2 linked regions of the Arabidopsis thaliana genome follow. Each later gene encodes a partner of the first gene's protein in a complex. Each region holds a gene or a part of one and is shown on either strand. Other genes may lie near its edges.

Region 1 (3,088 bases):
AAATCAAAATGCTAACAACTTGAGAAGAATTACCACAATACTACTGCCCACATCATATACTCATATTATTACTACAAAAAAGAGTTGCAGCAAAGGAACCATCCACATTGACACATAAACTAATTCCTCAACACTCTCTCATGCCATCATTACTTCTAACTCAAAGACTCTTCTACAAAGATCAGAGAATGCAATCCCACATTTGATTATACGAAACAAAGAGGATAAGAACCTAGAAAACAACTGATGTCATTCCTTTTAGTTTCTGGTTCTAACTACAAACAAAGATTCTCACTATAACAATCAACTGAAAACACTCTTTAGTTACATAAACCAATATCTTTACCACTTTCATGCTCACTACCATCTACTTCATAACCTCCAACGGATGATAGATTTTGAGGATAAGATCATTCAATGATGTTCATTTGAAGTGAACACATCAAATGCAAAATCAGTTTGATAGGCTTCTAAGCTAGTCAATGGATCAATAGACAGCTTTTAGTTTCTCCAACACAAGACGAACTATATACTCTGGGAAACCAAATCAGAAGCAAGAAAACAGCAATAAAGGATTCAAGAATGGGTGAAATCTTATGTATATAATAAGCTAAATGTATACAAAAGTACATACAAACAAACCATTCACAAAAGATTTTTCAAGTCTAATATCAGAAAGAGAAGAAAAGTTTTTGCCTTTTTCAATTCAATCACGGATCAATTAACTCGAACTCGTCTTCCTTAAGATGCGTGAAGAATTTGACAGGACCACGACCTTCGATCTCTTTCACGAACTGTACCTTAAACGGCAGATTAGCTGAGATTTTCTTTCCTTTCCAAAGAACGACGTAATCTTTGATAAAACCTTCCATTCCCATCAATTCAACCTCCGGTACACGAACCACATGGTAAACTTTCAACGGAACCGTAACCCTAACCCTAGCTCCAATCTTCTCCTTCGCTTTCTCGTCTTCCTCCGTCTCCAACGACGTAGATGACGATAGATCAGCGTCCGCGTCTACAGAAGCCGCCGATTTCACAGCAATATCGCAACGAATCGTCGATTTTGGATTCTTCCGCGAGATTGAGAAGGCGCATTTGCTTCGACCGTAGGAAGTAGATAATGAGATAGGTACGAAAATGGACGAAGATGAAGAGTTGATCGATTTGCGTCCACTAAGAGAAGCAGCAACTAGATAGTCTTGAGATGCCGGAGGACGAACGGCGGCGATAATCGCCGGTGACAGAGCGTAACTGTTAGTCATCTGCGTCCGAGCCGAAGAAAAAAATCTTAAGAAAGTGTGAGAGAAAACAAAAAAGATCATATCATTTAGCCCCTCATCTATTTATATTAGATGGTTAATTTAATCAAGGTGATTACTAATTTTGCTAATTATTTGGTTTAAATTAAAAGTCGGATTATTTTTGGATAAAGAAAGGCGACGCGTGTCAGACTTAAGACAATGTAAGAGATGAGGAACTTGTGGCTTCAGATAGAGAATCAACACTGTAAATATCTTGAGACAATTTCCAGATATTATTGGCAGGATTTTATAATAACACAAAACTAGTATATATAAACTTTTATATATCCACAATGGTTTCCAAATCAATTACCAAAATAAATGAAGTCTATTAAAAGAAACAAACAAAAAAGATAGGAAGAAGGCTTTGTGGTCTCAGCAATCATTTTTGGCATTATAGTAGCCATTGTTGTTATTAAGACAAGGATTTAGAGTAGCTTTCTTTCACCATTGTCTTAACAAAAAGCTCTCCTGCTCTATATGAAGATCTTACCTGCAAAAAGTATATATCCAATATCAAACAAGTACATTTCTGTATCTTCTATGTTCTCAGATATTTTTTGACATAAAGAGTAAGAAATAGTTTGTGGCTTTACCAGTGGACCACTTGCAACATAACGAAATCCTATTGATTCTCCGTATGTTTTCCAGAAATCAAACTTCTCAGGTGTGACATACTCTTTCACAGTCAGATGCAATGGAGTTGGCTTCATTGTGGAACAAGAGAAACGGTTTTAAATCGTAGATGTTCTTTGAAATTTGGGATCTTTCTATCTTGGAAATAGGAATATTGCGAATGATGTGGGGAATGTTGAAGTGATTAGTTTACCTGTAGATACTGGCCAAGTGTTAGAATATCAACATCTATAGCTCTTAGATCAGCCATTGCTTCCTTCAACTCTTCGTCTGTTTCTCCAAGACCAAGCATTATGGATGTCTTTGTGATCATTCCAGGTTTGCTGATCTTTGCATGTTTCAAAACTGACATGCTCTGCTCATATCTGCATTCTCCACATTATATCCACATTAAAATGGAGATTTACTACAACTAAAGATGCAGAACACCACCTATGTCTCACTTTAGGAGATATTTGACTGTGTAATATGAGATTGACATCCCGGAGCAGAGGATCAATTCACTGCTCAGCCCATCTATGCCATAACCAAATTTGCAGAACATATAAAAAAATGAAGAACAAGAAACAGCACTCACCCAGCCCTAGGATCCCTCACAAGTCGCTGGAGCCTTTTCACAGTCTCGACATTGTGAGCAAAAACATCCAATCCCGAGTGCACAAGAGTGTCGACAGCCTCCAAATCCCCACGAAAATCAGAAGTTAAGCATTCTATCATTATATCCGGCTTATGTCTCTACAGAGATGAGATATATATTTTCATTTTCATAAATACTCTGAAACAACATTCGAGAAATGCACAAAAAGGTATGCTTAAATAACATAATGCATAAACAAATAGAATATTAATAACCTTCATAGCTTTGACAGTCTGCGCAAAATGTCCACTTCCACCATCAGGTATATCGTCACGGTCTACGCTGGTAATAACTATGTAGTCTACACTGCAACAAAGGAAAATGCAAAATAGCATATCATGATACACCCATCATAAATTAACAAAGATGCAGTAGTGACTGTTGAGAGACACTATTTTTAATTTTCATCCCCTCTCCATTTATCCTATCTAGTTAAAAATTCTGAACACGACCATGAAGAGAATCTAAAGGACAATATAAGCAGATTACTCAGATCAGGAATCAAATAAAA
Region 2 (4,449 bases), on another chromosome or scaffold:
CATATCCTAGAGCATACAAATACAAGTCGGATCGGTGAAAACTAGGCTCGACCTCGATCCACCGGTTTTGTCCATAATACGGGTTCCAAACCACTAGCTTAGCATTGTCTTTCGTGATGTTTAACAACAAACCATCGTAGTGAAAGACTTAAGCTACATCTACTTCATCTGATCGTCTAGGTTAGTAAATTTAGCTTCATGCTTTATACACGATTCAACGTTGGTGTTTAGATTGATGTGCGTCAAATAAACCCTAAAATCAATCATCATGATTACGATAAACTCCTTTTTTCTTTGCTGTACTTTTGCATGACCAACGTGCTTCTTTACAAAGCTCAAATCTTTGAATAAAGTGTTCCACTTTTTGCATGTAAATCAAACTGCTCTTAGAGATTTCATCGGAACCCTAGAGAGGATCTTCTCTACCGTATCCCTTGACCAAAATTAATGTAATGTTAACCTTCGAAAAACAACTCTTTCCAGACTTCTTCCGTCAATTTAAGACATCCTTGACAATGACAACAGAACAACAAAATTACAAACCCTAAAAGGCTTAAATTGAACTTAAAAGCCCAAAACCGATAGTTATGATGGAAATTTATTCATTCAAATTGAAGATAAATAGCGAAGCACTATTGTACAACCAAGTTTCTTCTGATCAGCATAACTAGAGAGGAATACAACAATAATCGACTCTTCATGTGAAGAATACTTTGACATCCACGCATGGCTTGCCCAAAATCCACAACTTGCAAGTATAGAGGCCGTTCATACTTGGCACATGCGAATGCGACATAGAACATTGAACATCACGAGAGAATGGTTGCAAAGAATGGTTACTGTAAAGACCATATCACTGCTTGAAAAAACATAAAACTTGGAGATTGAGATCCGAAGAAGAAGAAGAAGCAAATGAAATACGTTATGAGAAAACTACTGATTTAAGTGGATTGATACTGTTATGGAAGCTTTGGCTTTGAGAGATGTGAAAGAGAAACCTTTAGATCTTTTAAGCTTACTTATTGAAGATTTCGTGTAAAGTTGGATCCTTTTATATAGCTTGTAATCGTTTTGCAAACAAAAGATCATACTAAAGAATATTATCTTAAGAGTGAAAGAGTTGTACAGAAGAACGAAGAAGATGCTCGGGGTATCAATGTACAAGACTGCATTTGGGGCGAGACATATCTCTCTTTTTTTTTACCTAAAGAACAGAGGTGATGAACATGGAAGAACCAGCTCTCTCACATGTTAGCTGTAGTTTCTTTTATTTCATCCGATGTAATCGTCTGCAAGATTCAAACAAGAGAAAGAATTAGAAATCCATATACTATATACTATAGGTTCCCAAATTCCCAATACTACTAAGTTGCTTCGAACCATTAATGGTATCCTTAAAATGGAGACAGAACCTTCAAGCTTTGATTTGAGATTTACCTGATCTTTTCCAGCGAAATCATTATCAGGAGTTAAGAAAAGCATACAATGGCACTCCTTCCTGATGAACAAGTGATAAATACTTTAGTACAAGATGTAAACAAGCAAGTATTATCAGAATAAACCGTCAACAGATGCAAAATTGATCGAACTCTACTACCTAAACTAAGTCCTATTAAAACACAAAGGATCTTAAATTTGCGGTGTATCAGAATTTGATCAAAAGAGCCACATAGGCCAAGAGTTTTACAGGAGTTTTCTAACTATGGTTAATTCAATTTCCACTTGCCTAGCAATATGTGAATACATTCTCTGCATCAATCTTGATACAACCAATACGGAGCATCGGCTACCTCTATGGAAACTACAACATACGTATGCTGCTGAATACTATCCAACTAATAACAACAAGGACGTTGGAGACGATCTATATAACCAGCTTTTCCCAAAGGACTTTATATTCTTAGTTCTAACTATATAGCAACCCCAATGCTTATTATGCAACCACATGAAGAAGATAGTTCTTACCTCTCTCTCATTGGAACACACGGACAATTCCAAAAGCCTTGTCCAACCTCAGCAGCTTTATCATCATAGTGTCTACATCAACAACAAAGGATCAAACTTTACGAATACATAGATAGTTCAAGATTGCTCGGAAGAAGCAAATCACCTGCAAGGGCAAAGCGGTGCACCATATGAATCTTTATGCTCAGCCAAACCCTGCTCACAAAGTTAAGCATTAAACCTCAAGATGTTTACATTCACTAACTCATAATCTACAAGTAGAAAGACACAAGCCACTTCAATAGTTAAGCAGTTGATCACAATCTTCATATCAACACAAGTTCATCTGAAATTTCAATAAGCTCCGATTGAAATCAAGAGTACCTTAATAACGACTGAAGTAACTCCTTTATCAACACAGAAGTAAGTCCCAGAGCGACGAGCATATTGCTCGGAGAATTTCCTCATAATCTCTACTGATTTCTCCGACGGTTCCGCTGCAAAAACAAGAAGAAGATTCAAGATGAATCCAAAACCGAAATCACAATCACTTTAAACAAAGATCTAGGGATTCAAATTGTTTACTTTTCGCTCGGATTACGAAGCGACGAAACGAAGTTCTGGGAGTGACACCAAGTGGACTCGAAAGGAATCCGAAGCTACAAGAAACAGCTTGAAGATTCATCGAGTTTTTTCTGGAATTTGAAGATCGATGAAAAGTTTCGTCGTGGACTTGAAGATTTTTCTTCTCCTCTTGAAATTTGGATTCGTTTATGCTTTTTAGATCGAAATTTTCAGATATTTTTTTGTGTTCATTTTCCAGAAACCAATGCTCGCCACTCACAGAGAGAGAGACTCTCAGAGAATGATAAAGCTTATCCTCAAACCGGAAATAACCGGAATTCGACCATCGAATCGGTTCAAACTTTGCTTCAAAACTTTCGGTTCAATTCGGTTTAGATAAAGAATTTGAGTAGAATTATGAATGAAAAAATCGAGTTTTGGTTTCGGTTCGAGTTGGTGAAATTAGTTTGGTTCAATTGCAATAGAATTCTGATTTGGTTTTAATTTGACTCCAACGTGGTTCAATTACATAAATTTCTAGTTTTATTTTGTTTTAGTGTATTGGATTCAATTCTCTTATGAAAGTTCCGGTTCAATTATGTTTAGATAATAGAATTTAAATTTTAGACTAATGAATAAAAAAAATTGGTTTATTCGGTTTAAATGAGAAATCAAAACCGATTTTCGTTTCGGTTCACGTGGAAGAATTTGTTTTGGTTCAATTGCATAAATTGAAAAGTATTTTGGATACCTTTGAAATTGCTTTGAGGTAATTTACAAGAGATTTTAATATCTATTATGGTCCAAAACAAAGAGTTATTTACAGAAACAGTTACACACTTTTTATTGTTCATCCAATATACATTTTCTTGCTTCACCATTTGCTTGATTCTTGTGAGTTATTATAAAAAGGAAGCGAGTTTGATCCTGAAAACAGTTCAAAAGAACTAAGAGATCAAATGCGAAAAAGGCATACGATTCGAAAATTTTCATAGTTCGGTTTCTCAGAGATTACCGATGTTTTTAAAAGGGTTCACGCAATGTACTTACGACTTGGCATGAAGGTATTCATCTACAGTGATAGGTTTAGCTCCACCATACCAATTGATGAGAAATATATCGATGATCTCGAGTTTAAAGAAGCGGAAATCATGATCCTTAGGCCAATCTGCAAATGATAAAACCATCACATGATAATACAAATCTATCATGAATCTGTATCTTAAGAGATGAGTGAAACAATTAATCACCCATCATCTCTGGATGCTTTGTGAATAAAGCCTTTTTGGCTACTTCTGCTTCCTCAGATCCTCCTTCCAATATCAGCAACTGAAACATTATAATAAGATAAAGACCAAAGCATTTTACAGTAAGTTTCTTTGTCGTGTCAATAAGAAAAAACTCTTTTACCTTCCCGGTAAGGGTTAGTTTAGAGCAAGTAGGATTCATTGGATCTCTTGTACAAGTTCCAAGAGGAGATTCACTAATTGCAAGTGAAGCTCTCTGGTCTTTAAGTGCGTTTCTTGCAGTTGGATCAAGTGTTGTTAAGTAAAAGTAAGGTATACCGTTACCTTTCTCGGGTAAACCATCACTAAACGATACAACATTCCTGCAAATAGAGACCATTGAGATCTCAATAATGTCAAAGCAAGAAAACACATTGTGATATGATTCATGGAAAACAAGATTACCCGAAGGGAGCGCCTTTATGATCAACGGATAGTGTGCTGGAAGAGGAATACAACACCGCAAAAAGAATTAGTAATACACAACTGTTACACTCACATTACCTTGCTGATAACAACAATGCAACAATCTCTTTCACTAATAAAGATCTCAGGTAACTATAGTGTATAGAGTGACCAGTGGTAACTACAGAGTATAGAGGAACCATTTGTTACTCCTAGTGTCAAATCTGAAATCCTAAAAACCTTTCAATTT

Evidence for each region.
Region 2: the proteins of FTRA2 (region 1) and AT2G04700 are in contact, whole or in part, in a crystal structure (PDB 7C3F), measured with the Arabidopsis thaliana proteins. Residues at the interface, in NP_568195.1 of Arabidopsis thaliana: Leu116, Lys117, Val118, Tyr119, His120, Val140, Trp143, Lys146, Lys147, Ile148, Ser149, Ala150, Asn151, Leu152, Phe171, Thr172, His173, Leu174, Lys175, Glu178; in NP_001323778.1 of Arabidopsis thaliana: Arg88, His89, Tyr90, Asp92, Ala95, Glu96, Gly98, Gln99, Phe101, Trp102, Val107, Pro108, Arg110, Glu111, Arg112, Lys113.

The regions. Positions count from the first base shown.
Region 1 is NC_003076.8:2,709,264-2,712,351, forward strand, and holds FTRA2 (ferredoxin/thioredoxin reductase subunit A (variable subunit) 2), read right to left. Parts: upstream 1,336-3,088; 5' UTR 1,326-1,335; coding exon 711-1,325; 3' UTR 547-710; downstream 1-546. Other genes in the region: AT5G08415 (Radical SAM superfamily protein), read right to left, coding at 1,720-1,797, 1,901-2,011, 2,134-2,305, 2,518-2,675, 2,793-2,883. UniProt on the Arabidopsis thaliana protein: Variable subunit of the ferredoxin-thioredoxin reductase (FTR), which catalyzes the two-electron reduction of thioredoxins by the electrons provided by reduced ferredoxin.
Region 2 is NC_003071.7:1,645,141-1,649,589, reverse strand, and holds AT2G04700 (ferredoxin thioredoxin reductase catalytic beta chain family protein), read right to left. Parts: upstream 2,784-4,449; 5' UTR 2,630-2,783; coding exon 2,530-2,629; intron 2,442-2,529; coding exon 2,329-2,441; intron 2,161-2,328; coding exon 2,111-2,160; intron 2,038-2,110; coding exon 1,966-2,037; intron 1,499-1,965; coding exon 1,438-1,498; intron 1,290-1,437; coding exon 1,245-1,289; 3' UTR 553-1,244; downstream 1-552. Other genes in the region: AT2G04690 (Pyridoxamine 5'-phosphate oxidase family protein), read right to left, coding at 3,555-3,676, 3,759-4,117, 4,200-4,235. UniProt on the Arabidopsis thaliana protein: Catalytic subunit of the ferredoxin-thioredoxin reductase (FTR), which catalyzes the two-electron reduction of thioredoxins by the electrons provided by reduced ferredoxin.